Rhinolophus ferrumequinum: one gene and its partners. The protein of the gene in region 4 purifies or fractionates together with the protein of the main gene of each other region. This does not show direct contact. Links are inferred from orthologs where the notes say so. Each region holds a gene or a part of one and is shown on either strand. Other genes may lie near its edges.

Region 1 (7,471 bases), on a different chromosome or scaffold from region 4:
GCTGGCAGGCCTCAGAGGGACTCCAAGGAAAAACCTACCCTAATCCCTTTGCCCAGGGAGGAATTTCTCTGGACTCCCACACTGCCTGAACTACCTCCATGATGGCACATTTAGGCCAGCCCATGCTTGCGTCACCTCCCCAGCCAGACTGAGAGCTTCTTGAGGCTCAGGCTTGGGGCAAACCCATCTGAGTTGGCGTTTGGCCAGCCTGTCGTTTGCTTTTGTCGTTGTCCTCACCAACATGATGACTGTCCTCATAGCTCGGTTTCTGGCCTCACCTCCTGGAGCCAGCCACACCTCCTACAGACTTTCCTGGTCCAGCCTCCCCAAGGTATTCCCTTGGCCGGAAACCCTCTCTCATTCTCGAAATTCAGGTCAAAGGTCACATGCCACCTACCTCAGAGAGGCCCTCTCTGACGACCCCACCTGTAGTGACCACACCTGCCTGTCCCTTGGTCAATCCCTCTCTTTACCTTTGTTTCATTTCCTCCATAGCGCTTACCACAACCTGAAAGTCTTATTCACGTATGTGTTCCTGCCTGTTTATCTTCTGACTCCCCACTACACCCACTAGGATGACAAAAACACAGGGGCAGGGGTGTGCTCTGCCCAGCACTTAGAACGTGCTTGGCACACAGTAGGTGCTTAAGCATCTGCTACTACATGACTTTGGGACATCGCATATGCCACTCCCCATGCTGAGAATATCATTCCTTCCTGTATCTTCCCTGGCGAACTCACATTTATCCCTTCAGAACACCGTCTAGTTAGCACTTAACCAGCGAAGGCTTCTTTGACCGCCTCACATACGCATCACAAAGCTGGCATAAAGGTCTCCTCTGGGGATACACAATGCCCTGTGCCACCTCCATTAGTGCACATGTCACTGTGAATTGTGACTGTAGGTGCCAGCAAGGTCTATTTTCCCAGTGAGACTCTCTTCTTGAGGGGAAAGGGTGAGACACTAATTAGGTCTCAGGAACCATTTACTGAGTGAATAAATTAGCAACAAGTGAGTAAATCTATCTCCCTGAGACCCAGCTCCCATCCTTACACCCTCTCCCAATGACCTGTCATACCTCTCATTTCCCAAGAATTTGACCTCGCTCCCTGTCCTATGAATTCATCAGTAAATCCTCTTGTTGGGTGCGTGTGTGGGGGGGTGTGAGCCCTGGGGGAGGAAGGTGAGGAAAGAGATGGGGGGGAAGAGTGTCAGATACGACACACAGGGCATCTTAGCTTATGAAGCCCCAGTGGAGAAGTCTGTTTGGTTCCCGGGTCCCCTCAACCCAGAGAATAAATTAACTAGCCCAGTTCGCCAGTTTGAGGACAGAGGCAAACTCAGACCCACAGTCCTAAAGCTCACTTACTGAAGGATGCCATAAGGACGGAATGAGAAGGCAAGGGGGTGGAAAGGGTTGTGTTCTTAGGTGCCCGGTTCCTCCCACTGGTAAGTCTCCAAGACAGGGGTTCACTGCCTCCTCCCGGGACTTACTGAGTCAGGCTGTGCAGGGGTGGGAGCCCCCACTGGTATCTGGGAACCACTTACTACGGTTTGGAGAGAGGGAGGGGCCTCCTTTGCGGCCACAAAAGGAGGAAGGAGCTCCTGGGCCCGGGAACTAGGGCGGGGGCTCCGGTTTCGGTGTCTCGTGCCGCTCCAGGCCGCGCGGAGAAGGAGGGCGGAGCCTGGGAGAGCCTGCGCCGGGCCGGCCCTCCTCCCTCAGACCTAGAGTCCCGGGCCCTGACTCCCACCGAATGCCTCTATGAGGTCAGTTTCTCCACCTGCATCTAAAGAAAGGGGCTTGCGATCAGCTAAATATGCACTTGTGTCACAGTCCGGGGGTACTGTGACCTTGGGCTCGTGGTTTTCCCCACTCTGAGCCTTTATCTGCTCCTCTGTCGAAGGGGCGCCAATCCCCCCAGTCAGCCTCACAGAGGGTAAGGGGTCTGTTCCTTCCACCCCCAACCCAGGTAGGAGCTCAGAAAATATTTGTGCCATGGATGTGACAGGGACACAGAGTGACAGGAGCTGGAGACAGAGACACACAGAGCCCTCTCCCTGCTGCACACCTAAGACCCACCCGCCCGGCACTCAGGTACGCCCAGCGGGCATAGCGCCTTGGCTCCTCCACCGCGGCTCCACAGCTCAGGCAGCTCCCTGGCCTGGAACACTCCTCCCTCCCTCATCCTCTAGGCCACTTTGAGCTGCCAAACTTGCCCTTCAGGTTCAGCTCTCGCTGCCCCTCCTCCAGGAAGCCTGCCCTGCCTCTCTTAGCAGCCTCTTCTGGGCTTCCACAGCACCCTTTGTGTCCTCCATTATAGCACATACCTAAAGAAAGACCATCATCTCTGTCCTTGTAACATTCATCAATCGTTTCCTCTTTGCCAGGTCCATAATCTCATTTAATCCTCCCAACACTGTGATCACCATTTTACAGTTAGGGGCCTGGGGCACAGAGAGGTTAAGTCATTTGTCCAGGATCACACAACTAGAAAGGGGCCAGGTCACAAAGTAGCAGTGCAGGCTAGCACCAAAGGATGCTGGGTCTAAATCACATGGCCTGGATTCAACTGTATCCATCAAGTATTATTAGCTGTGCGATTGCAGACAAATTACTTAACTTGTATGAGCCTCAGTTTCCTCATGTGTAAACGGGGTTCATAGGACCTATTTCATATATTGTTGTGGGGATTATACATATACACACACAGATATAATGTACTCAGAAAAGGACTTAAGCACACAAAAATTATTAAGTGGCAAAGCCAGAACATGAACCCACACCCCTGGACTCTGCCATCACACCACACCATATTATTGTCTCTTTCTCTCTGTTCTTTCATCCCCTTCAATCTAGGACAAGTATGTGTCTTCTCTGGTTTCCAGCCTCACTCAGCATAAACTGTGAAGTCAACACGTCTTGACTGAAACAATGAAGCAATAATGCACATGAATGCACCAAGTACAAAAAGCTCATTAATTCAACAAATATCTCACTTACTCTGTGCTGTACCCTATTCTATATGCTGCACATAGAGTGGGAGTCTGAACATACCCTTGGGAAGCTTTCATTCTAATGTGGACACATATAACAAACAAAAGGAACACCTATTCCATAGTATGTTAGAATGTGATAAACGCGCTGAAGAAAAATTAAGTACAAAGCAGGGGAAGAAATGAACAAGGGGAGGGTAAGAGATGCTGCAATTTTAAATAGGATGGTTTGCCAGGCCTCTCTGAGAAGGTGACATTCGAGCAAAGACTGAAGGAGGTGAGAAGCAAGCCATGAGGCTGTCTAAGGGAACAGCATTCCACGAAGAGGGAACAGCAAGTGCAAAGGCTCTGAGACAGGATGGGGTCTGGGAGCTCAAGGAGCAGCACGAAGGCCGGTGTTCAGGAACAGAGTGATAGGGAGAGGAAGAAGAGGAGATTAGAGTAGTGACCCTTAAGACCCTACAGACCTCAGCTTTCATACAGAGAAAGGAGAGCCACTGAAGGATTTTGAGCAGAGATGAATTTGACTTGGGCTGACTTTTGGGCTGACTTCAGTTTCTATGAAGTCCCTGCACTGAAACTAGACTGAGGGAAAGGGAGCAGGAAGACCAGTTTAGGAGGCAGGTCCATGTGAGAAATGATGGTGGTGAGAACTAGGTGGGAACCACTTATAAGAAAGAATAAAAGTGGGCATGTCCAGCCTCCTGCTTTCGGGGAGGTCTGAGCTTTGGCAGCTGACGTTCTCATGCATTCACTGCAGGAGTAACCTTGGGCATGGCTCTTAACCTTTATGGTCCTGTTTCCTCATCTGCGAAATGGAGACCCCCTCACCTCACTGGGTTTGGGAAAGAAATGATGTATACATATACCTCGGTTTGCAAGGACCTTGGTACAAGGAAGTGCTTGAAAGCAGACTTTATGCCTGAGGAACCTGCTTGTTTTTTGCGATGTACCTGGAGCTGAGTTGAGTCTTAGCCATCAGCATCATCATAGGGGTTTATTGAGGGAAATTTCCAAAGAAAGAGGAAAGAGGAGGGATGGGGGTCGAGGGCACCCGTGGTGATGGGAACTGTGGACAGGTGTGCACAGAGCAGGGGATGACACTGGCCCTGGAGATAGAAAAACAGCCGTGGGTTCAACGCCCATCCTTCCACATTGACCGCCCCTCTCTTGAAACATGAACAAGTAGAAATCAAACCTCCGACTTCCAGAGATATTAGGAGAATTGGAAGGGGGTATTTGAGACCAAGAACAGGTAGTGTGACATCTAGGACTGTTGTTATTGTTCTACTGTTGTTGTGAGGAGACAATTATGGTTCCTGCTCCTCTGAGGCTGTCCCAGCTGCCCCTCCCCTTCTTCCCCACCCTGGGTCCTTCTGCCAGCCCCGCCCAGGGGCCACTCCAGCTGGGCTGTGCCAGGTGAGTGCTCAGGTATGCGGAGGCGGGGCAGCCCGGGGAGGGAGAAGGAAGGAGGGGCCCTTGGTCTGGAAGGGAGAGCAGAACGGGGCCTCTCTGCTGACAGAGCCTGACAGGGCAGGTGAGGAGGGCGCCCGGGAGAAGGTCTGGGTCTGAGGGAGAAGGGGCTGGAAGGTGGGGACTCCTGGGTCTGGGGGAGGAGGAGCATGGGCCTGGACTCCTGGGTACTGACAGGAAAGGCTGCGGGACCCAGACTCTAGAGTCTTGTAGAGGTGAGGGCTGAAGATTGGGCCCCAGTCCCTAAAGGAAGAATATAGGGTCATACGGACTGAGGAATTGGATGAGTGGTTCTCTGAGGAGACCCGGGCTCAAAACCCTCTGGTTCTTAGGAATGAGCAGCTTGGAGCTTAAACTGGGTCCCTGAGAAGATAAAGCTGGGAGACTGGATCCTGGATAGAGGAGGAAAGTGGGATACACATAGATTAGGAAAATGAATGCATGGATTCCTGAAGGATTTGGGGGCCAGTGTACTAGGTGTGAAAGAGGAAGGGCTGGGGGCCTGGACTCCTGGGTCTGAGGGAGGAGGGGCCTAGAGTACCACGTCTGAGGGAGGAGGGGCTGGGGGCCTGGACTCCTGGGGCTGGCCTGGGAATCTTAGGTCCCGCAGGTCAGGTCAGGCCTCACCTCTTCACTGGCTCCCAAGGTGCCTCCAGGCCGCAGGAGCTCCCCATTCTGAGCACCATGAGCACCACCACAGGGTAAGTGCCCCCTGGCCACCAGGCCCCCAAGCCCACCACACCTCTCCACCCTCTCACCCGTACCTGCCGGTGGCATTTACAGCAGCCCAGATCTGGACACTCAGAAGTAAGTCAGAGCTGCCTCCTTCCCTGTCTGGGCTGTAGTTAGAGCTCTGCTCCAGAGCAGACAGACCTGGGTTCAAATCCAGATGCTAACACTCAGAAGTGGTATGACCCTGGCCAAAGGACATCTCCTCTTTGAGCCTCAGTCCCTCCTCTGTGAAACAAGGACAATTGTGAGAGCTTGATGGGATAGTGCACATAGAACTTAGCAGAGAACTTGATTAACAGCAGGTACTCAGCTAATAGGAACTGCTATTGCTGTTGTTATTATCTTATTATTAAATAGTGACCCTTTGCTAAAAAGTCAGACATGTTTATAACAAAGGCTCAAGTCTCCTGGAGTGAGCAGGGAGAAGGACAAAGACAGACACATGGGAACAGGTGCACAGGAGATGTGACGTAGTAAGTTCTCCAGGCCAGAGGTAATCAAATTGTGGGGAGATCTGACTGGCAGGAACAGAATGAGAGGTGGAAGTTTGACTGAAAGGGTTTCTTATCCCTCATCTCTGACCTCACCTGAGCTCCGAGCTTCTGTTATTTCCGTGGAAATGGGGACTCAAGAGTTCTTGGAGAAGGTGACCTTGAAGAGGGGGGTCGAAGGCAGGAGACAGAGAAGGATTTGGCTGGGAAGAGCCTGGCCCGTTGCGGGTGGGAAGGGAAGAAGGTAACTCTCTGTCTACTCCGAATGCTAATGCTATTGTAAAAAATCCCATTTATTGAGCAACTACCACACAGTTATTGAGGCTGCAAAACACTTCAACTGCATTATCTCATAGAATTTGCCCAACAGCTCTACCAGAGGGAAGCTGTAGGGTAATTAACCCCTATCTTACAGAGTAGGAAACTGAAGCAGGAGAGGTGAAGTCTCCTACCTTGGGTCTTATGGCAAGGCAGTAGTTGACGGGGGATTCAAACCCAGGTCCCTGTGACAGTAGGGACCACACTCACCAACACCACCCAGTACCACCACCTCACCTGTCTTAGTAATGTCCAGCTATGCCCTGCCCTCCCCTGCTTAGAATCCTCCGTGGCTCCCCAGTATCCTCAAAATGAAGTTGCTGCTCTGCTTGGCATTTGAAACCCCCATGATCTCCCAATTCCCACAGCCCCTCTCACCCCTGTTTTCCTTCACCAGCCCAGAAGCTGCCCCCAAACCAAGTGCCAAGTCCATCTATGGTGAGTTTTCAAGCAAGGAAACCCCAGGCAGAGAGAAACAGGATCTGAGGAGTGAGGGAACTGAGAACATGGACTCCTGGGTCTGAGGGAGGAGGGGCTGGGAGCCTGGACTCCTGGGTCTGAGGGAGGGAGGGCCGGGGGCCTGGACTCCCAGGTCTGAGGGAGGGAGGGCCGGGGGCCTGGACTCCTGGGTCTGAGGGAGGGAGGGCCGGGGGCCTGGACTCCCAGGTCTGAGGGAGGGAGGGCCGGGGGCCTGGACTCCTGGGTCTGAGGGAGGGAGGGCTGGGGGCCTGGACTCCTGGGTGTGAGGGAGGAGGGGCTGGAGGCAGGGGCTCCTGGGTCCATCCTCCTTTTTTCCCCCACACACCCCACAGAGCAGAGGAAGCGTTATTCAACTGTGGTTATGGCAGACGTTTCCCAGTATCCAGTCAATGTGAGTCTGGGGTCTGCGTTGCCACTGGGAGTCTTGTAGGATGAAAGGAGACTGGGGTGTTGAAAGCAGTTGGGCCTCCAAGTAGAAAGAACTTGGGAAACTCAGTTTGCTCACCTGTGCAGTGAACTTCATCTTGCCTTCGACATGGGCATCAATGGAGGAACTCAATTCCACTGGAATCTGCCAACTTTTCCTCTGGACCAGCTCTTGAGCTGGACAGTCTGGCCACAGGGACAAATCAGATGCAATCCTGGATGAGTAGGGGGCAGACAAGGTCCACAGGTACAGCAAAGGGTGGCAGTAGCTTTAATGGAGGTAGAGGTGCTTAGAAGGGACTAGATATAATCAAGACCATTCCCTGCTTTCAAGGAGCCTCCAGTCTAGATGGGAAGGCAGACCCAGGTGTTAGTCACTCTGATGAAAGAGAAATAAAGGTCATTGGGTAGAAGCATCCATAGGTGGAGCAGGTGATCAGGGAAGGCTTCCCAGAGGAGGTGCGGGTAGTCACAAGCCTGACGGCTGATTCCAGGGGATGCTAAGCCCACCTGGCATCATCCGGGGACTCACTGCTTTCTCGGTGACCCATGCTAG
Region 2 (6,969 bases), on a different chromosome or scaffold from region 4:
CATACGAATTTAAAATTGCTATATACCTCTTTGTGAATTAAACCTTGTATTTGAGGAAATGATTAAAAACATTGCACGAGCTGCCAAAATTCTTGTTATTAGTCACAATACAATTAGTCAAATACAGATGAATGTATCTGCATGCTTTACACACCTCCCTTAGTCACTTTTCTATCATTACATTTACTATGTGTAAGTTTTTTTTTGCATATAAGGAGGAATTGGTTCACAAACTAGCAATGATCAATGTCCGTTACTCTATTATCATAGAGCCTAGATCACTGAGAGGGTCTAGCCCCAGCTCTGCTTCCAATGGACCTCTGGGACCTAAGGTAACCTCTCCTAGATTTTCTTGAAGTGATTGAACTAAGTGAGTTCTAGAGACGTCCCCTCACCCCTACCCAATCAATATACATCAATTCTCACTGTACATGCTTTTCTGAAGATCATCTTTTTTACCTACTCTTTCACTCATTTTCTCACCAAATATATTTCCCTTAATCTTCTGTAATAGGCATTGGAGACATGAAAGAGAGCAGATGCAACAATCTCTGGTTCCCAGGGCCTCACAACAGTCCAGGGAAAAGAAAAAGGTTAACAAATTACAGCAATGTGGTAAGTGCTATAATTGAGGTATAAAAAGGTGCTAAGGTAAACAGAGGAGGAAACGTGCATGAGACTGAAGAACAGCAGAGTTTGGTTGGGGAGGCGGAGAAGGAAGGCACGAAGCAAGCAATTTCCAGGCAGAGAGATAAGTTTGGGCAAAATCTTAAGAAAAAAGAAAATAAGGCTTTTCAGCCTTTGCAGAGATTTCAGCGTGGGAGAACGGCAAGCATCATATGTTACACAAGGAACTGAGAAATTACCCAAAAGGCAACATGGTGTCTTTGGGCAGGGAAGTGATATGATAATATTGGATTTTAGAAAGATCACTCTGAGTGCACTGTGAAGGAAAGAGTGGGCTATGGAACTGGGGGACAAGAGCAGGTAGAAAGACTAGTTAGAAGGTTATCATCATCGTCCCGAAGAGAAATGATAAGAATCTGAACTAAAAGGTGACAGCAGAAGAGCAAAGAGATTTGATTAACATCATGGCACCATAATGGGCAGGACCCACTACCCAAAAGTAGCGGTGTTGAGAGAAAGTAAAGTCAAGAATGACTCCTGGGAGAAGTAAGGAAGATATGAAGCCTGTGTCAGTGAAAATGAAGAGGAAGGAATTGATTTGAGAGAAATGAATGAAGCAGAAATGTTAGAACCAGATGAATGACTAGCTTCAGGGGCTGAGGAAGAAGAAAGAGAAAAGGAAGACCCCTCTATTCTTGGCTTAGACTAATGGATGGGATCATTAATCAAAATGGGAAAAACAGGTGAAGTAGATTTTGAGAAAAAGAAAATGCATTAATTTTTCAGCACATTGGAATGGAGGTGCCTGAGAGCCATTCTGAGAGAGAAATTTAATCGTTTGTGCAGCTAGCAAGGAGTTTACAATTGGAAATAATGACAGTAATACTTTACATGCTTTATGACGTCTTATGACTCCAAGAGTGTTCCCAAGAAAACTAGGTTGCTTTGAGTTAAGGAAAACACGTAGTGAAGCGGGAGAGCTCCAAAAAGCTGAGCTGTGAAAGGAATGAAGACTCCGGACGTTGCTGAAGGGGTTTAAGTTTGGGGGAGTTTGTTTTGTTATAAAAATAGGAGGATTCTAAGCATTCTTACCAGCTGTCCATTAGTAAAAACGTGAAATTTACAAGTAGCTCATTAAACAGGGGTAAAAGACTTAAGTTATTAACACTAGACTTGGGAACATCTTAAATACACAGGAATTTTTGCACACTGCCTCCACTCACTACATCTTGAGCTTCTGATCACCCCCATTAGGTTCTACGGGGCCTACACTATCAGTTGGTGGGTGCTCTCCTTAGGCTCTAGACACTAATCTTTCCTCAGTTCTTCAAACACAGGCAACTGCTATCTGAAGGGTTGCTGTCTCCTTTGTTTGGAAACTCATGCCTTCGTTTGCACACGGCTGGCTTCTCGCTTTTTCAAAGCTGCTTTTTCAGAGAGGACTTCCCTGACCAACTTATCGAAGTCATACTCCCACCTTATTCTCTATCACAGTACTCTATTTGTTTCCTTCACAGTACTCAATCCAATTTGTAACCACTTTATTTGCTCACATTTCACTGGCTGCCTCTTCCACTAGAATGTATGTATCATGATGGCAAAGATGTCTGGCTTGTTGGTTTCTATGTCTTCAGACCTTAGAACAGTTCCTGGTAAATAACATGTGTTCAAAGAAATATTTGTTAAATCAACTATATAACCCAATTTCTCCCTCTATCACCTTTCTCAGTTGGGATCATGCAGCATGCTGGTTCTTAAATCCAAGGGCTTTTCTCACTGTGGACATACCAGGGGTGCCAAAAAAATGTATACAAGTGGACACTTTGGTCAACGTTGCTCAAGCAGTACCTAGCTAGTAATCAGAAGCGTCTGGATGCTGATGGTAACCACTCTGAGCACCTGTTGTAATTGCAAAAGTCAAACGTGACTTGTATTCATCTTTTGTTATTGGTATGTATTATTACAGTTTTAACAGTTTTTTCCTTTCTTAAAGTGTGTATACATTTTTTTAGTACCCTTGGTATATAATCAAAAGAGCTAACATGCATTGCACTTTTAGTAGATACCAGGCTCTATGCTATAAGCTTTATTTGCATTTCACTTCATTTTCACAATAATCCTCTTATATAGATAGGTGCTTTTAAAAAATCTCCATTGTACAGGTGAGGAAACAGAGGAGGTTGTATAACTTGGCCAAGTTCACATAAGTGGTGGAGCTGGGATCAAGATCTAGTTCTGACTTCAAAAACAAAACAAAGCCCAGCCACCACTCACTTCAAGTGAGGGCGCATACTCTAGTTTGGGAAATCCTGAGTTAGCTTTTCTTATGTTGTGAGAGTACACACGCTCTATCCAGGCCACATCCTAATCCACAAATTCAAATTTCACTCCCTATTCCCACTTGGTTTCTGATGGCGGGAGCGGGGAGCAGTGGAGGGCTGTCCTGAACTTCCAGCCCCCGGCTTCTCCCAAGGAAGATGCATGTGGGAAGAAGAGATCCAAGAGTTAGTGACGTATCTCTCAGCACTGAGGAAGAGATAACCAGGAGCCTAAAAGTGACTGTCAGATTTTGGAGCAGAAGCCAATTCCCGAACCGCATCAGAGGCAACAGCGCTTACCTTAACTGCCACCTCCGGAGCCGAGTCCACCGCCACTGCCAGAGACGGTTTGGCGGAAGGCGATTTAGTCAAGTGCATGAGGGAGTCGGCCGCTGGCAGCGGACACCGTCCGCTCTCACTGTCCGAGTCCGATTCGGACCCTGAACCCGAACCATAGGAAGCAGCCAGAGCCGCAATCGCAGCCGACATGACGGCAACAGAACTTCGGCGGAGACCAGGCCCCGGCGGAAGAAGAAGCGGCTCCCAGGTCCTGACAGATTGCCATGGCACACATTATTTACTTCCTTTGCTACGATAATTTATGACATTTTAAATAAATTAATAATGTTATAATAAGTACAACATAACTGAGAATTTGGAAGCATTTCTCTAAGGACATAGAGAGAATTATAATAGTTTATAACTTTCAGGACCTTCTGACTAAATTAAAGACTACGAGTTCCTATGTACCTTGCGGCCTCGAGGTCCTACACTCCCGGCGAGCAGCGCGACGGAAAGTGGGAGAGGCACAATGGGAAATGTAGTTTGGAGCAAGGGGGCGGGGCGGGGCGGGCAGGCATCTCTTTGACCCCGCCCCTGAATTGATGGTTCATTCAATTGGCTACCATCTTCCCTCATTCCCTGGCTTAGCACAGTTCTCTCTGTCCCCCTCCCCCAAACTGAGGATTGGGCTATACCATAAAACCTCAGGAAAGGGGGGAAGATTGATATTCATACCCGCTGATGAGTAAGTGGACGGAGGCTGAGTTTTCCACCACCGCTGAACCGAGGCACTGGGGGCTGAAGAGGATAGCGAGAATCTTAAGTGGGAAGACCCTGACTGGGGGGGTTATAGCTCCTGGTGGGAAGGATGGGAGGTTAGTTGGCGAGTCTAGCGGTCCCCCCTGCTTCAGGCGTGGGTCCCCGCGCCCAGTTGTGGAGAGGAGCGCGCGGGGAGGGGGCGGGTGGGGGGCGGCGGCGGCGGCTCGCGGTGTTGTTCGCTCGCGCGTCGAGCATACTGTGGGTCCGGCGACCGGCGGGCGCCGCAGGCGGCGTTCCCCGTGGCCCCATCCCTCGGCCACTGCTCGGAGCGGGTTCCACCCGGGAGCTTACTCTGTTGGAGGCTCTAGGTGGAGTCCCGGGAGCTGAGGGGGACCGGCGGCTGCCGCCGAAGCATGAAAAAGGGATAAGGCAAGAGCCCCCCAAGGTTTCACGGTGAGCGCGAATCTCTCAGGAATTGTTTTTTGGGGGGAGAGGGTGCTGGGGAGGAACTCTTTCTCACTGGCCAGAATGGAGAGTGGTGGTGTGGTGCTCTAGCCCGGCAAAGGTTACGGGGATGGGCGCGCCTCCCCCGCGATGGCCCCCACCCCCATTCGCGGGTTCCAGAGCTCCCGCCGCCCACCCGCCCGCCGGGCTGCGTGCCGAGGGCGACAGCGGCCGGCGGGCGCGCAGGGGTCTCGGTTGCAGGGACCGCCTGAGGCTGCTCTAGGTGGGGAGACTGCAGGGCTCACCTGCGGTGCCACCGCCTGAGCGCCCGTGCCCTGCACCCATGGTGCACCCCCGTGTCTTCTCGCTCCCGGGGAGGCTGCAGCACGGGGTGGCGGAGAAGCCCCTTCTCGCGCTACGTGCCGGGCTCTGTAAAGCAAGCTTATGCGTTTGCGTGTTTGCGCCGCGCTTCTGTGCCTAAACACATAACGGTAAAGCGAGTACCGGGAACCCTTTCTTCGCCTGAAGAGAAAGCGAAGCGGGGCGGTCGCCTCTGATGCCTGTTAATGGGGGGGTGCCTCGGGCAGAGTTAGGGAGCCGCTCCCTGGGCTTCAGTGTCGGTCGGACTCGCCCATTGTGCCACCCAGATAATTATTCAACTATGCAGCATCCACTGCACCTTTCCCATTTTTCTTTTCCCCTGGCTACAGCATGCCCCCTAGCTTCGGTACTCTGACGCCTTCTCTTGCACTTGCGGATGAGGAACTGGAGTAGTGATGAGAAGAAAGCACCCTGACCTGAACATTCACAACCTGCTCTATAGCCGATTAATTAATCCCCAGCTAGACTAGGTACATTAAAACGACTTGGTCTAATGCTGTCCTTTTCTGAATAAGGCGTGTCTTCGATTATATTTTAAGTTTTTTCTTGGGTGTTGGATTCACGTATTAGCTAAGTCTTATTTCTGTCCAGTAATTTATGTAGTTGATTTATTGGTTATTCAACCCGTCTAATGTTCTTAAATTTAATTTGTATGGTAGGTAACTTTCATTTTTCTAACGTTGATAGCGTTATATCATAATTACAAATGCAGTTTCAGTCTTTGAACTCTCAGGAACAGCTTTTCTCATGCTCTAAGTTTGTTAGGAAAAGTATTTTTATTTAGGTCGACTATTTGAATAAAGTACATGATATAAAAATTTTCAAGTTTTGAATAAGAAAAGTTTTGTGTTGATTTTCAGTAACAATATTTGATTGCTAATCATAGCCTTCAGTTGAATGAAAGGAAGCATTTAATATTTAAGATGGGGTTTAACTACTATAATGTGCATTCGCTAATTTATCTAAATTTTATTTTTTATTCAGTTTTCTTTGCAATATCATGTATTTAATTATTTGTTACAGATTTTATTTTTATCATTTTTCTAACTTCTGTCTACAGGATGGGTATTTTTGCATGATCCAAATGAAAGATGAAATATTTTTTGAAAATGGAAGAAACAACTGTTGGTTACTTGCTCTTATGTTAAAAACTTTACATCTCATTATTTTAAAATAAATGATTCACTACCAAATATAAGTGTTTTCTTTTTGTTTTTGTAATTCTCCCTTTCCAGCTCTTCTTGCTTAAGCTTGTTGCCATAACCCTCTTGATAAAACCGAATTGCACATAGGCATTGCAGAGGCAGTTGTTTTAAGGTACAGTAATTGTTTTATGGCACTTGGAAGTGGCGCACATACAGTATAATTTGATGGTGTAAGATCAGTTGCTTGCTTAGAAAATGACCTTGCAATTTACAAAATGGACACCTTTGTGCCTTGGTTTCCTTATATGTAAGTGGAGATAAAAAATACCCATTTATTCGATAAGTAGCATGTGTAAATTCAGTAAAGATGTTTGCATAATGCTTTTAAAGAAAATTGGAATGTTTTAGCTGATGAATGATGACAAATATTTCGGTGTAAAACAAAATGAAAAAATGTCATTGGGATTTTCCGTGACATGTTAGAATGGCTGATTTATCAACATTGGATTTTGCTTTGGAAAGGTATGGCCTTAAATTGAAGATTGTTTCCCATCCATTAAGGGTTTTTAATAATTGCAAATTCAGTAGGTTTTATAGTTAATATGTACTTACAAATGTACGTGTAGTTAACGTTGATGAAAAAAGTTATATGACGTAATAAGCAAGTAGAATATTGAATTAAGTTTGCGAAAAATAAAATCTCCAGAAAATATTAAGGCCTTTTTCACTGAAAAACTTGTAGCTGACACAACCCAAAATACATAGTTGTGCTCATTTGTAGGTATGACATGGTACTACTTTATTTTTCAGGTTTGTAAATAACCATATATTCAGAGACAATGTCTGAATATTGTGTAATACTATACTTATACATTTTGCTTTATTTTCATAATACTCAGGTCTATCATTTCCAAGTACTGATTTTCATTATCACAGCTTTTGATTTCTTTATTGAAGGATTAACTCAGTTAATTTTCATAGCAAAAACTTAAAATATTAATATTAGAACTTTT
Region 3 (7,590 bases), on a different chromosome or scaffold from region 4:
CAATTTTCTTAGGCAGACATATAAACAAGTATGATGTCAGGGGAAACTTCCTGGAATCTTGCTACTCAAAGTGTGGTCCCTGGGTCAGCAAGAGCAGCATGGCCAACTTTTGGGAAATGCAGACTCTCTAGCTTCACCCTGAGACTCACTGAACGAAAATCTACATTTCCATTAGATCCATAGGTAATCATATGTACACTGATGTCTGGGAAGCACTGTCAGAGGATATAATGTCTGACTCAGTTTTGAAGATGAATTATGGTCTTTTTCTGTTTTTTGTTTTGTTTTTTCAAGACAAGCAAGTGGGCAGAAATAAGATAAATACTTTCCCGACAGAGGGATAGAGGAAATAGAATGTGTTGGGAAGCTATAATCAGTTTACCATTGCTGGAGCATAAAGGGTGTGTGTGTGTTTGTGTGTGTGTGTGTGTGTGGTCTTGGCCAGGGTAAGTATGATAGAAGGGGTAGGCAAATTGAAACTGAGGCTGTCAGTCTAGGCAAGGACTATGTTTTAAAAGACAAAAAGAGTTGGAATTCTACCTGTAGATAGAAAAGATGTCATTGAGCAAGGAGAGAGAGTCAAACTTGCATTTAAAATATATGTTCTGGCAGAGGCCTGGTGAGTGCATTTGAGAGAGGCAAAGCTGGTGGAAGAGAAACCAACTTGGAGATGGTTTTTGTCTTGCTCCTAGTACCAGATTATTGTTCATACTCACTCACTGTCATCTGCTGTGTGGGTGACATGTGGAAATTGTAATTTGGAATTCTTCAGTCACAATTGCACAGAAATGAATAGCTGTTCCCCTTCCTCTTAAAATCCCTGTGAAATAAAAGCTGGGTTTTTAGAGTTTGGGTGTGTTGAGCTCTCGCGGTACCTTTCAGTCCACCAAACGCCCAGGTCCACTCAGGAGCCAGTTTATTCACCAGAGGACCATTAGGCATGGTGAGAAGGCCTGTGGCTTCCAGGCAGTCCTTTGTGGAACTCACCTCTGGGCTTCACTCCCATTGGCAAACGGTCCAGATAAGAAACTTCCAAAGGGGGCTGGACCAACAGATCTGCTTCGCAGAGCATTTATCCTGCAGACCCTACTCTCTCTGGAATCTTCCAGCACTCTGAGGCCCACCGCTCTGAGGAAGAGGCAAAGCACACACTACATGCAGCAACATGTGTGTGTGTGTGTGTGCGTGTGTGTGTGTGTGTGCGCGTGTGTGTGTGTCTTCAATGACTTTGAGCTTCTCCCCAAGTTATGACGTGTAGTTGGCTTGGGAAATAACAGAACCATACAGATACTGTTAGAAGGAGTTATAGAGATCCTTTTATTTATTTCATAAATAGTTGGCATTCACCGGCTTTTGCTTGGCACTGTGTTAGGTGCATAAGATGAATAAGATATCAGTTAGGAACCAAACATATCACACTCACATGAAGATAATTCAAGCAGGGCTTATTTACAAAAGGCCTATTTCAAACCGCATGGGTCAGGTTTAAGAGAAGCATAGGAGGTGGTCCAGAGGAAAATAACAGCTAAGGAGCAGTTACCACCCCTAGGCCTGAAGTGACAGAAGAGGGAGCGATCGTTGGAACGTGGAAGCAGAGAATCACCTGGAGAAGATTGCGTTGACAGAAGAAGACTCCCAAGGCAACATCGAAAGAAGGAAGCCAGGGAAATAATATACTGACTCCCTCTCCTTTCACCCCATCGACTGTTGGGGCTTCCTGTTAACCAAACCCAAGTGGAAGCCAGAAGACAAGGAAACCCGAGAGGGTAGAGAGGTCAGTCTCCAGGGTGAGAAGAATGGAATGGTTTGGGGGGAGCAAGATATGTGATACAGACACCAAGCTGTCTGTTCCCAAGTTCCCGGCTCTCAACCACTCTGTGGGGTTGCTTATAGGGCCGCCTGTGCTGGCCTGAGAATACAGCAGCATCGACCCCATTTCCTCAGCTAGGTTTTCACATTCCAAGTCCATTCGGAATATGCTCAGACCCTCCTTCTCAGGCCTTAACCAAAATTATTGTAAAAAGTATTTGTTTAAATAAAGATGAAATGTTCTTTGCTATCGAGTTGTGTGTTCAAGATCTGACCTTCCGGGGAGACCAGTTCTCTAGAAGGTGTGGGAAATGAGTCAAGTGAGGGGAGGGATGCATTTCTAAAAGGCCCAGGATGGAGCAGCTGTGTTTCAACAGCAAAACCGTCCTCAATATCTCTCTATCAAATAACAGGCTACTTGTGATCACGCTCTCATGGTGGGATGCAGGCAAAGATGTCACCAATGACACCATAGCATAACAAGTGGTACATAGAGGAAGCCCAGGGACCTTTAGACGGCTACCCCTAAGCTACCCCAGACATGGAGGGACCTTGGAGGAAGTGATGTCTAAGCAGATACCAGAAGGATGGAGAGACGTTCGGCAGCAAACTGAGTAAAGTGTGGAAGGGGGAAGGGAAAGGAGGTCAGATCCTTCCGAGCCACAAAGTCCAGCTTGTGCAAAGGCCACATGCAACAGAGAACACAGCAAGTTTGGGGAACTAACAGATTCCTTTTAGCTGAGGCATAGCAAGCTTGTTCATAGGGGAGGGAGACACCAGGTCATGAAGGCTCTCACAGGCCATGGTCAGAAGTTGGGGCTCCATCCTAGAGCCTGGGGAGCTAATGAAGTGCTTTAAACATGGCAAGGGCATGTCCTTTGTTTTAACTCAAGTGATTTTCCACATTCATAAGTACCTTGGAGTGTATCCAACCTACTTCACTGTATAGAAGGGGAAACAGGGAGGTGAAGTGACTTGCCTAAGAACACTTAATTGCAAAACTAGGACCAAAAGGCAAGCTTCTGGATTTCCAACACCGTGGTTTCAAAAAGATCACATTGCTTCCCCTTATAAGCAAATATAATTCAGGGGTTAGAGAATTATTTTTGCCTCAGATCCAACCAAATACATAGGTAATCGTGTCTTTTGTTTCTAAGCAATTGCTCCTAAAAGGTGAAAAGACAGGGAAGGAACCTCAGGGAGGAATACATTTTCCAGAAATCTACAACATTCCAAATAATATTCTATTTAGAATGAAAATCCATTCTTTCATTGTTACATCTTTGTAATCACTGACACTCAAAATCCCAAGGATCACAGTGGAAAATGAAAAAAAAAAATTAAAAAAAAAGAAACCTCAGTTCCTTTTTAAATGCCATCCTCCACAAACACCCCCACAGCTTTCTCACATGTCATCAGGGACACACACACACACACACACACACACACACAAAATATATATATATATATATGTGTATATATATATATATATATATATGCTTATACATATATATGCTATTCTTTCTAAAACAGCAATTTAAATTAGATTTAAATTAGAATGAGTAATCTTAACAACAAACCACAGAGGATCATGATTTCTGAGTACTTGGGAAATGGTGTGAGATCAGTGCGGGCAAAGACTGCCATAGCTCTGTAGAATCACTTGAGTAATACAGCTCTTCTATAAATAGCCCCTGATCGGAAGAGCTGAGTGTTAAGGATAAATTTGTGGGCCCTCAGCAAACATTTACGAATAGTTCTCTTTTAACAGGACTTTATCCTTTCAATCTGTATACTCCTAAACTGTCTCAAATGCTTTCAAATTATTTACCCTGTAAGGTAGGTATGGCTCCTGACAGCTATGGTGGCATCTCAGGAACAGAGTGAAGGGAGTTGCTTCAAGGTTAGGATTTGGTTGTCTTACTTCAGCCTGGTCTGAAGATCCATCAGGCTGCATGCACGTGGAACCATTTCTTTGGAGAGTCCTAAATAGCAGATTCCGCCTTGAAGAAAGTGCCTGTTCTCTTACTTAGCTCCTCCCTGGGCTTTGCCAGGAATTACTTCCTGTCACCATATATTTTCCTTTTTGTCCATTAGGCACTTCTCCCTGAATGAAGTTGAAGTATGTCCCTGCTTAAGAGATGGCAGCTTCGGGGATTCGTCTTTAAGGGACTGAAAAGGAGTGCCAGAGGTTATTCTTGAACTGAGGAGAGCAGACTCAATTGTTAGAAAGACGGTCCCTCTCCCCAAGCCCCAGGTTTTCTTTCTATCACTTTACTTCGTTCCTTTCCTTCACAAGACTTCTCTCAGCTGTAACTGGACATTTGCTAGGTTAATTTATGCATGCCCTGTGTCGCCTGGTAGGTGAAAAGCTCCAAAAGGGCAGGGACCCTGTCTTTTGTACACCAGTGCATACCCAGCTCCTGGCACGGTACTTGGAATAAAATAGGTGCTGGATAAACGTTAGATAGATAAAAGAGCACTTGGAACTACTGTGCTATCAGTGAGATCCGAATGGAGCCCAAAGCTGCGGTCCTCCCCTGCTGCAGGTGTGGTTCCCAGGCATGCGGGCCTAGGAACCAGTCCTCACTCCTTTCTCCATCCCCAGAGCAGGGCGGCTGGCAGGACTGGGGCGGGAGCCCGAGGTGCAGGTCTGGGATGCGCCGGCCGCGTTGAGGGGCGCACCCGGAGCCCCTCGCCGCAGCCATTTCCTGCTCTTTGTGTGACAGCCGCGACGGGGAGGAGGCCGGGCACCCGGGGCGGAGGAGGAGCAGCAGCGGGCGGAGGGGCGGGACCGAAGGCGGGGCCGAGCGCGGCGGCCGGTGGAGCGGAGCCCGGCAGAGCATCCTGTGCCCCGCCGCGGGGCCCCGCGGTATCCTCAGGCGGCTCCATCGGACCTGCCGCAGACCCAGGTAAGCGGCGCTCGCGGGCCTTGGGGCCCGCGCGGGGACTGGGATGCTGCTGGAGACGGTGATGCAGCCCTGAGGATGCGCGAGGTGCCGGCACCCCTTCATCTAGCCTACGGGGGGCGCTCGGAGCAGCGCCATCGCTAGCGCGGCCTGAGGGCCCCCGGAAGCCCCGATCGCTGGGCTCCAGGCCCCGCGCGGTCCCCTTTCCCCTCCCGCCTACCCTGGGCCCCGGGACGCGGACCCCCTGCAGGGACGCGCAGACTCAAGGAGTGGCACCGGGGCACCGGCGCGACGGCCGCAGCAGCAGCAGCAGGTGCGCGGCCTGGGCAGGAGCCGCGGGCCGGAGAGGGAGCGGCCCTTATCCAGGGTACCGGAGACACCTGCAGCGGCCGCGAGCCTGGCGGTGGCGACATCCCGGCGCCCAGGTACTGCAGAGCGCCAGCCTCCGCCTCTGCCGCCGCGGCCACCATCACCTCCCCCAGGGCTAGCAAGAGCCGCCTGGGCCCGCCTGGCAGCCACCTTAGGCACCCAGCGCCCTGCGGTGAACCTGAGATGGGTGGGGCGAGGGGCGAAGCGGCGATGTTTGGGGGTGGAGGCCTTAATGAGAGAGAAGGCTCGTCTGACCCGCTTTGAAGCCTTCTGGCCGAAGCTTGCAGCGCTCTCCTCGGGGATGGCTGGGGGCGGGGAAGGACGAGGAGGAGGGGGATGAGTGGGCTGACTGCTGGGGACAAGGTTGGCTTTTCTTGAGATCTGAAGAATCAGGACGATGCTTACCTGTCTGTGGTGGCTTCAGCTTTTCAGGACAGCCCTCCCCCTGGATGAGTGCACACCACCGCCTATGTGAAAAGCAAGAGAAGGGGGTGCTTTCTGTTTAGGAGTAGGGGCGGGAAGCATGGTCTGATTAAGAGTATGGTTCTCTATACAGAGAACCTCTAGAGAAGGGCACAGCCTGCCCAGGTGCCCTCCCCAGCCCAGGGATTCTGACTTTGACCTCTGCTTGCCTAGTTTCCCTGGCACAGCAGAAACACTCACCAAGGGCTGATGGCCATCAACTCCCCTTCCAGACAGGCCAGGAAGGGGACAAGGATCTTTACCTGCCAGTTCCTGGGTGCTTGTGCTGGCATGGAATGGGCAGGGAGATTGGGGCAGTCCTGCAGGCATGAGGGGCAAATCCGGAGAGTGCTGGTTCCCACACTCCCCTTTCCAAAAACCTCCTACCTGTGTCCCCTTAGAGTAGGGGGTCAGGGGGTCTTACCTTCCTCTTGGGCACAGGCCATATTGGAAGATTTTTGGCAACCCTGAAGATCACAGATGTTTGAGGGCAAAAATCTAGGTCCACATCCCTGGGCAGCTTGTTTTCTCCAGCATTAGCCTTTTCTGTTACCTTCCCTGAGGCCTCCTACCTCCACTTCCACACAGTGCCCTGTGCTTCCCAGTCTCCTTGTTTTCGAGAAAGGAGCCAGTGACCATATTTATCCTCAGGAGCTAAATACAAAAGAATTTCCCATTCCACGCGGAGCAGGTGCTTTGATGTCCTTTGACCAGAAAGGAAATAGAAGCTGAGAGGCATTTTAATGGGAAACAAAGCTTTAGGTCAAATACTTGATACCTCTAATGGTGGAATTTCAAGCAGTGAACTGGAAGTCGGAGTGGGGAGCTGGGTAGCAATTTTGTGGAACAGCTCCCTGAAATGACAATATCTCGCAGCTGTCAGCTCTGTTTGCTGCAAGGGCAGCTTTGGCCCCCAGGGCAAAAATATCCTCCGAGTAACCGGTCATCGGTTCGGTCACTACAAAGCATTGTTGAGCGCCCAATGTCCACATGGGGGAGGTGAAAGTTTCCTATAGAGAATTACTTGTTGGCACTGGCTGCCATCTGCCAGGATAGTTACTAGGCCACAAGAAAAGTGTGTTGTTACTTACAAAGCCAGGGCCTCTGGCTGCTTGTGCACAATGAGCCTCTGGCTGCGGGCATTAGCTCTGGGCTCACTAAGCTTCTTTATTATATTTCCTGGCCAGTTCTGACCGGTTCTGTAAGCACCCAAGCCTGCCTTGTTCAGTCCCTGCTGGAAATGGAAAAGGAAAAACTTGTTTTAGGCATGAGGCCAAGAGGGGGGTATAAAATCCAATAGGATTGAAGAGTTTTCCTCAAGTCAGGCTGGCCCAGAGAAGGAAGTAGACATGAATTTCAAAACTGGGAGAGGTCCCAGAAGAACATCACATGTCCCTTCTGATAAACTGTGCCCTCTCCGGCCATTCCGTGGGCCTCCACTGCTGTCATTGACCAGAGAGTGGGATTAGGTGATGAATAAGCAATAAGCTGATTAACATTGGGAACAGCGCTCCTGGAAAACGTGCAGAGCTCTAGTCTCCACATTTGAGGGGTTTTTTTGGCCTCTGTCTGCCCCTGGGTTCCACCATGAATTTCACAAAATGGCCTTGTATAGCCTGCATGTGGCCACCATAACAATGAGTCTGTTTTTTTACTGGCAAGTATTAATTATTCTCTTATAGTTGACGAAACCAGACCTCAGTCACCTCAGTGGAGCCTTTGTAAATGGCCTTTGGTCTCGTTGTTCTAAGGAGCAAATCCACGTCTGGAGTCCAGAGGATGGGCCCTGCATTAGTGATAGAGGCCGGGCACGAGGGTGGAACATGCTGCTGCCTGCTGAGTGGGAAGGTGGCAGGCCGGCAGCAGTGGGGAAGGAGCTGGTACTTCACTGGATGCTCTTATTAAATGAGATGCATGACAGTGCTCAGCAGAGCATCTACTCTTACACTTATATATTGTTAAATGTGTTAATGACATAATCATTAACAATATAGCTCATGTGTGTAGTTAACCCACAGCTCTTACCAACCCCTCCACCTCC
Region 4 (7,867 bases):
AGTCAACAAGACCCAAATTGCACTAGAGCCAAAAGAACCTGTCAACTAAACACCTTAACCTAATTGGACTATACTTCCAAAATGTAGGAAAACAACAAAATTAAAACTGAATTCTCAGGATAAAAATCACCCAGGCAGTAACTTAACTCATCTTGGGTAAAAAAAAAAAATCTCAAAACGCAAGTCACCACATACTTTCCCTGAGAGGAGGTACATTTACGTAGGCTGTTCATTATAACCCAATCAGGATCACAGAAAGGATACAGAAAGATCTCAAAAGACACCCAAATGGGTACGACTAGTACTTTTGTTCCCTATTCACAGCACCAAAGTTAGCAGCACAGCACATCACAAAGTCAGCTACCACTTCTCCTACAAAGTCTTCAGCATCTTCTAAGCCTGTCTGAGCCTGACCTTGTCTGAGCCTCAGGAAGGCAGCTAGCTAATGGCCTGCATCATGCCCCCCAAAGTTTAAAGGCTACTAAGATAAACATCTTTTTCCCCAGTAAGATCAGAATACCGCACTTGTGTCAATTTAGGACCACCAAAAAAAAAAAAAAATCTTGGGCCACTGATAGTGGTTCTTTGCACCACTGTACTAACGTGTTTAAAAGTAAGAGACTACATGAGAATAAAATGACTTATCTTAACTAGGGATATTACCAAGAAGTTTAAAAATGCTTCCAAGTTACATGATGGTGGCAGGAGGTGAAAAGGAAAGGGGTCAGGGAGGAAAAAAAAAAAAAAAGCCTTACAACAGCAGACAATTACCTGAAAAACAGTCACCAGACAGGTTAAAACACGTTTGCATTTGCCAACACTTAGCAGTTACCACATCATGTATTTGTCAGATTTCCCAACATGCAAAACAAAAAGAAGCCACCCTTTGTGAAGTACTATCTGCTGACTTCTACAAAGAAATGACTTCTGGAATAGGTGCAATTTAACTTCCTGTGCTCTCCCTTTGACTTTCAAAGTCCTTAAAATCTTCAGTAAATTGAGATTCACCTCAATTTTAATATTTATGTTAAATTGAATAAAAGCTGTATGTATTAATATCAATAAACTACAAGGTAACTTTTCTAATTGAAAACTATATCCACATTTCTACTTGGTTTTAGACTATTTCTTAAAGGCTAAATATAACGTTTGCAAAAACAAGAAATTTAGTAGACGTGGCAGGCATTCAACAAGTTTATCAGAATTCCTAAAGTAAAAGCTTGAAAAAGTTTGAGATAAATTCCTACTAGTGCTACTGAAGATATAATGTTACTAATATGGAAACTGAGAAATATTCAGAATATTCTGAAAACAGTATCTCCTTCTAAAAATAAGGAGGAAAAGCATTTGCCAACACAGAAACTATTGGTTCTTTAAAATGACAATCACATGGGAGGAATTTCTATAAATACTTTAGTTCTGAATTGCAATAACCCTAACCTTTCAAAGCACGTTTTGGCCATGTTTTGCCACTAAATAGTGAATTGTTGGTGCCCTTATATTGATAGAAAGGATTCTGGTACTTTATTTGGTTCTATTGTAAACTGTTGGTTTATGCAGTTAAAGACCTACAAACCAAACTATCACACCATAATTCACTTTCAATCATTAAAATAAAAACAAACAAGCATCTGTCATAGTTAAGGCCCCAAGAATTTTCTAATAAATTTACAGTAATATTTTACGTTATGGTTCTAAAACTAAGTATGTTCTGTAACCGATTTGGATTTAGAATCTATACATTCACTTATATTGGTAAGAGAAACCTTCAAAAAATAAGCATCGGGCGATTACACCATTCTATTTTAAGTTACTTTATGAAACCAACAGTTCAAAAACTTTTGGGGACGACAGTATTTAAGACATTTTTCCAAGTAGTTAAGATTAATTTGTGTTTTATAATAACGACAGCTGGAACCTCCTCTAGACATACGTTATGGTGAGGTGGAAGTGAAAATGATGAGAGGGAAGAAACCCGACTTGAAAACGGACAGGCAGGCAAATTTACAAACCTTCAATCAAAGGAATTTTGAGATTAACTTCTCTTAGACGTCTTCCCTCACTCCCCACCCGCTTCCTCCTCTCCTCGGGGAGGTCTGTGTAATGTGACTCATGACAAATTTTTTTAAATAAATAAATAAAAGACACACCCTCTGGATTGAACTGACATAATCTCCCCCACCCTACCCTCCCCCGATACACACACCCCGCTTTTCCTCTCGCTTCTGCTGCTCCTCCCTGTGCCTCGTCCCTGCCCTTTCCTCTCCCCTCTGTCTCGGTCGTAGACCCCTCGCCTGGCGGAGAGGCGGCCGGGTGGCAGCTGGGTCTCAGGCAGAAACCTCGCGACCGGCAGGCTGCGAGGGGGCAGCGCGACTCGGGGAGCTGAGCCCGCAGGGAGGCGGACGGTAGGGGGGCTCCGGGCCGCGGCGGGTTCCCTGCTCCCTCGCCCATTTTCTCTCTCCCCTTCTATCGGTTTCAACCACCACAGCCACTTCCTGTATCGCAGCCCGACTCCCGGAGCCCGGCCACTTGCTCTGTCCCCAGCTGGGGATTGGGGCTGGGGCTTGAGGCGGCCGCGGAGGTTAGGGCTGTTCCCCACCCCGCCCAGTAGGCTGGTCACTCGGGCGGCCGGCGGCGGGTCCTCGGCCCGGCCAGGCAGCGCCCGCCCGCGCGCCCGCGCTTCCTCACCTGTATGTAGTTGTTTTCACAGTAGTCCGCCACCCGGGTCAGGTTCTGGTAACTCTCTATCAGCGCCCTCTTGCCAGACGGGATCTCCTCCTCTAGTAACATTTGCAGCTCTGCCATTTTCCACCCCTCCGCATCGCTTCCTCTCGCGTTAAAGAGACAGAAACAGCAAGGTCCGCGGAGGTTCCGAGCACCTCACAGCCCGGATACAAACCGCCTACCCGCCCTCCCGCCTGGTATTGTGGGACAGCACCTCCCCTTCTTCCTCCTCACTCTCTCCACCCACCTCCACCCACTTCGCACTGCTGCCTCAACCTCCTTCTCTCGCGAGTCTTCATGCTTTTCCCTCCCCCTCCCCCACCACAAGATTTCCGCCCCCTTTTGGCATGGCCTTCTGGGAATTGTAGTTTTTCACAGGCCAGGCTTCCCATCAAAAACGCATGCGTCCAGGGAACCTCGGAAAAAAAACCCCAGGGAGTGTAATTTAAGAACGTCGACCTTTGGTGGTGGTTTAAATCCGGAGTTTCCTGACATCCCCGGGAGATGGCGCCAGAGTGTGATTCCCCGGAATGAAACTGTTTTCCGGAGAAGCCTGTGAAACTTGGCAGAACTTTGAACATTGAATCTATCTCACACCATGCTCCAAAATTTGTTCAGGATATATCATAGGTCCAAATATAAAAGGTAAAATAATAAAGTTTCTGCAAGAAAACAGTAATTTCACAAGCTTGGGTTAGGCAAAAATTTCTTAACTAGGATACAGTTAAGTACTAATAAAATTGGTAAGTTGTTTTTTAATAAAATGAAGACATTTTTCTTATCGCTGCTATAACAAATTTAGTAATAAAACAAAACTAATTTATTATCTTACATATCTGGACATCAGAAGTCAGTTGTCTAAAATTAAGGTGTCAATAGGGCTTTGTTCCTTCTAGAGACTGTAGAGAATCGTTCCTTGATTTTTTTCAGTTTCTAGAGACCATATGCATTCCTTAGTTCATGGCCACTTCTTCCATCTTCAAGTCAGCAGCAGAGTACATTCAAATCTCTCTCTGACTCTGACCCATCATCCCTCCCTCTTATAAGACCCCTGTGCCTACATAGATTTCACCTGGATAATCCGGGATAATTTCCCATCTCAAGATCCTTAACTGGATTATTATACATCTGCAAAGTCCCTTTTGCCACGTAAGGTAATATACTCACAGTGTATAGAGATTGTGACATGGACATTTTTGTGGGGCCATTAGTCAGTCTACTATAGCCATCATTAAAACACTCATTAAAAGACTATTAAAAAAGGGAAAAGAAAGGTACAACATATACATTTGACAAAGGACTCATATCCAAAATAAAATAATAAAAAAAACTCCAAGTCAATAAAGAGACAATCCCATAAAAAAAATTGGACAAAAAGACAACTGCACTTCACAAAAGGCCAATAAATATATGAAAAGGATCTCAACCCATTAGTCATCAAGGAAGTACAAAATAAAACCATAATCGCCACACTCTACCAGGATGTAGTATAAAATTTAAAAGATTACACTACACACCCATTACAAGGGCTAAAATTTTAAAAACCTGACTGTGGGGACAGAGCCCCAAAAAGCAGTTTCCAGGCTCTCAGCCTCACATAGAAAGGTGCTGGCTCAGGTAGTAAATGGCCATCAACTGTGATCAAATGGCCAGCAGCTGTGGCTAGTTGGCTGTCAGCTGTAACCAGTGAGCCATTAGCCATGAATATAACTGCCGTGGCTAGGCTAGTAGCAAAAAGAAAAAAGGGGGAGCTAGCAAGAAGATGGTGGCTGAGTCTGCAAGCGGCGCAGTGAGGGTTGAGAATTGTGTGGCTCCTGTTTCCTGTGTCTCCAACCCAGCCGCCAGCAAGAGTATAGAGATGTGACTCCCCTACCTATGGCTCCGTGGGTGTTCCTTTTTGGCTTCACCATGTCCTGCGTTCTTATGTGGGGAGTGGGACCAGAAACCCCGCCTGACGCCCCGCACGACACTGACAATTGCAAGTGCTAGTGAAATGTGGAGTAACTGGACTCTCAAACATTACTGGCTACAAACTGCTATAGCCACTCTGGAAAAGAGTTTAGTAGTTTCTTATAAAGCCAAGCATACTTAATTTATAATCTAGCAATCCTACTGCTAGGTATTATCTAAGATAAATGAAAACTTACGTTCACAGAAATATCATGATGTGAATGTTTACAGTAAATTTGTTCATAATCACTAAAAGCTGGGAACAACTCAAATGTCCGTCAGCCAGTTACTGGATAAACAAACTGGTACATCCAAACAATCGAGTACTCTTCAGCAATTAAATATAATAAATTATATATTCATACAAAGTCATGAATGAATCTCAAATGCATTTTGCTAAATGAAAAAAGCCAGATACCCACCCACCCACCTCCCCAAAAAATACCAGCGATACCTAGTGTTGGTAAGAATGTATTACATCTAGCACCCACATAAACATACACACACGGATATATATTAGGTTGGTGCAAAAGTAATTGCAGTTTTTGCATTTATTTTTAACTTTTTAAACAGCAATTACTTTTGCACCAACCCAATATATATATGTGTGTGTCATAAAATATACATAAAAATATATATGTTGTTATGTATATGTATACAAGTATAAAAGGGTACAATCACTTTGGAAGTGACTATTTGCTTTGGCACTACCTATTAAAACTGAATATCCACCTCCTTAAGGCCCAGCAATTCACTCCTATGTATTTATTCAAGAAAAATAAGTAATATGTGCATGAAAGGATATGTACAAGAATGTTCATAGCATCTTTATTCATAGGAGCCAAAAAATGGAAACAACCCAAAGACCTATCAACAAAAGAAAAAATAAATAAATAGTGGTATATTCATATTATAGAATACTATGCAGCAGTAAAAGGAACAAACTACTGATACATGCAACAACATAGATGAATCCATTGCTAGATGCACTTTCATGGATGAAAGTTGCTTTATTAAGTGAAATTAGGCAGACATAAAAAGAGTACATACCATATGATTTCATGTCTATGAAGTTCAAAAAAAGGTTAAAGTAATCAATGATGACAAAAATTAAGAATAGTAATCAACCATTGTAAAGGATAAATTGGGAAGCAATATAAGGAAATCTGGGGCACTAAGAATATTCTATGTCTTTATCTGATTAGTGGTTATAAGGGTACATATGTAAATAAAAAAAAATCATCAAACCGTACACTTAAAAGCAGTGCGTTTTTACATAATTTACTGTATGTTATACCTCAGTTTAAAAATGAAGAAAGAAAAAATAGTATTTTTTTAAAATCTCATCTACAAAAAGGGAAAATCAACAGACAAAATCAACAACAAAACTTACAAAATTTGCCAAGAAAAATTCTTGGCAAATTTATTGAACTTTAAAGATAAAAGAATAAAGGAATCTTCTGTAGAAAAAAACAGGTTACCGTCAACAGAAAAAGTATCAAGGTGACCTTTTCTTTTGCAATAGATGTCAAAAAAACAGTAGAACAAAGTCTATAAAATCCTGAAATGAAATTGATGTGACTCAGTGAATCTTTAGTGTAAAAGACAAAAACATCTAAATGCAAAGTTTAAACATCAAAAGTAAGTCGTAATTGAATTAATAAAATAACTGGTTATTAGAATGTCAAGGATAGAATAAAAAATCTTAAAAACTACCAGAGAGAACAGATTTTTCTACAAAAGAATTGCAATTAGTAAGCTCTTATTCAACAATAATAGATACAAAACATGAGGAAGTTATATCCTGAGACCGCTGAAGGAAAATGACTAAACCTAGAATTTAAACCCAGCTAAATGTCATTTCAAAGCCTAATCAAAATAAAGGGACAACAACATATTTACCATGCAAATATTAACCTAAAGGAAACTTGTAAAAATGAATGAACAGAAACCTAATTTAAAATGAAGTTGGGAGGCCACATCCTAAGTGGATTGCGGAGCAGAACAGGAAGAATTCTGTTTATAATCGTTTTCCCAACTTCCTCTTCTCTATAAAAGAGTTTTCTCTCCTTTGTTTCTCTGGACTTGCATGTGGTTCACCATCACACCACATGTACCAAATTGCAATTCTTTGTTGTTCCCAAATAAACTCATTTTGCTGGAGAAATATCTGGCTGTCTTTTGTTTATGGTCAACACTATTATAGCAATAATAATGTCAAGATAATCACATCAAGGCCAAAAAACATTACAAAGCATAAAGAGGACATTAGATAATAATAAAAAGACCAACTCATCAAGAAGATGTAAGCATAACTTCTTATGAGCCAACATCACAGCCAATCAATATATAAAGCAAAACCTTTACAAGAAAAAACTGACATATCAACGATCATAAATGGAAGATTTTTTTATTATCTTTATTTGTATTTTTTATACATGGAAAATTTTAACATATGTCCACCAGAGACCAAAGAAGCAAGCAAAAAGTTGATATAAAATATTTGAACAATAAAATTAACAAAAGCACAAGTAACCAATATTAGAGATGAAAACAAGGACATAATACAATTACAATAATGAAAACTAAACAATTTTCAGATGTCCAGGAGTTACTAGGATGAATAATAAATATGAATTCTATCTGTATCTCCTTCAGTTGGGAGGAAGGGGGTAGAAACAAATTGTGTGCATCAGTTCATGTTCTTTATTTGTGCAGTGATGTGGGTTTCAAACTATTTTCTAGAAGATATTTTAATTTGAGATCCAAAAGGCCTTGCCTAATTGAAATGGGTCATAGACCTAAATGAACGAGATAAAACTATAAAATTTCTATAATAGAACTTAACAGAAAATCTTAGTGCACTTGGGTTAAGCAAAAACTAAAAAGTACATTAAAACATGAAATATGAAATAAAAAGATGATAAATTGGATTTCATCAAAATTTAAAACATCCGTTCCTCAAAGACATCATTAAAAAATGAAAAGGCAAACCATAGATTAGAAGAAAAATATTTACAAAACAAATATCTAGTAAAGGAGTTGTATTCATAATATATGTACTCATAATATATAAAGAACTCTTACAATTCAATAATAGGATGACAAACAAACTGAATTTTTTAAAAAAGATCAAAGATTTGAACAGATGCTTTGCCAAAGAAGATACACAATGACAAACATACAAAAGGGT

The links.
Region 1: the proteins of ABI1 (region 4) and EPS8L1 purify together in Homo sapiens (co-immunoprecipitation; 4 studies listed by BioGRID and IntAct, with this or other methods). This does not show direct contact. The link is inferred for Rhinolophus ferrumequinum from reciprocal best matches to the Homo sapiens genes ABI1 and EPS8L1.
Region 2: the proteins of ABI1 (region 4) and WASF1 purify together in Homo sapiens (affinity purification with mass spectrometry; 6 studies listed by BioGRID and IntAct, with this or other methods). This does not show direct contact. The link is inferred for Rhinolophus ferrumequinum from reciprocal best matches to the Homo sapiens genes ABI1 and WASF1.
Region 3: the proteins of ABI1 (region 4) and CYFIP2 purify together in Homo sapiens (co-immunoprecipitation; 4 studies listed by BioGRID and IntAct, with this or other methods). This does not show direct contact. The link is inferred for Rhinolophus ferrumequinum from reciprocal best matches to the Homo sapiens genes ABI1 and CYFIP2.

What each region holds. Positions count from the first base shown.
Region 1 is NC_046298.1:48,320,534-48,328,004, forward strand, and holds the start of EPS8L1 (epidermal growth factor receptor kinase substrate 8-like protein 1), read left to right. Parts: upstream 1-4,455; 5' UTR 4,456-4,532; intron 4,533-5,114; 5' UTR 5,115-5,152; coding exon 5,153-5,169; intron 5,170-6,406; coding exon 6,407-6,447; intron 6,448-6,821; coding exon 6,822-6,880; intron 6,881-7,471. UniProt on the Homo sapiens protein: Stimulates guanine exchange activity of SOS1. May play a role in membrane ruffling and remodeling of the actin cytoskeleton.
Region 2 is NC_046286.1:62,591,252-62,598,220, reverse strand, and holds the start of WASF1 (actin-binding protein WASF1), read left to right. Parts: upstream 1-3,953; 5' UTR 3,954-3,972; exon of another isoform or gene 3,973-4,439; intron 4,440-5,140; exon of another isoform or gene 5,141-5,281; intron 5,282-6,969. Other genes in the region: CDC40 (pre-mRNA-processing factor 17), read right to left, coding at 3,246-3,434.
Region 3 is NC_046307.1:27,467,691-27,475,280, forward strand, and holds the start of CYFIP2 (cytoplasmic FMR1-interacting protein 2), read left to right. Parts: upstream 1-4,579; 5' UTR 4,580-4,721; intron 4,722-4,779; exon of another isoform or gene 4,780-5,143; intron 5,144-7,590. UniProt on the Homo sapiens protein: Involved in T-cell adhesion and p53/TP53-dependent induction of apoptosis. Does not bind RNA. As component of the WAVE1 complex, required for BDNF-NTRK2 endocytic trafficking and signaling from early endosomes.
Region 4 is NW_022680355.1:11,066,776-11,074,642, forward strand, and holds the start of ABI1 (abl interactor 1), read right to left. Parts: upstream 3,019-7,867; 5' UTR 2,806-3,018; coding exon 2,689-2,805; intron 1-2,688. UniProt on the Homo sapiens protein: May act in negative regulation of cell growth and transformation by interacting with nonreceptor tyrosine kinases ABL1 and/or ABL2. May play a role in regulation of EGF-induced Erk pathway activation. Involved in cytoskeletal reorganization and EGFR signaling.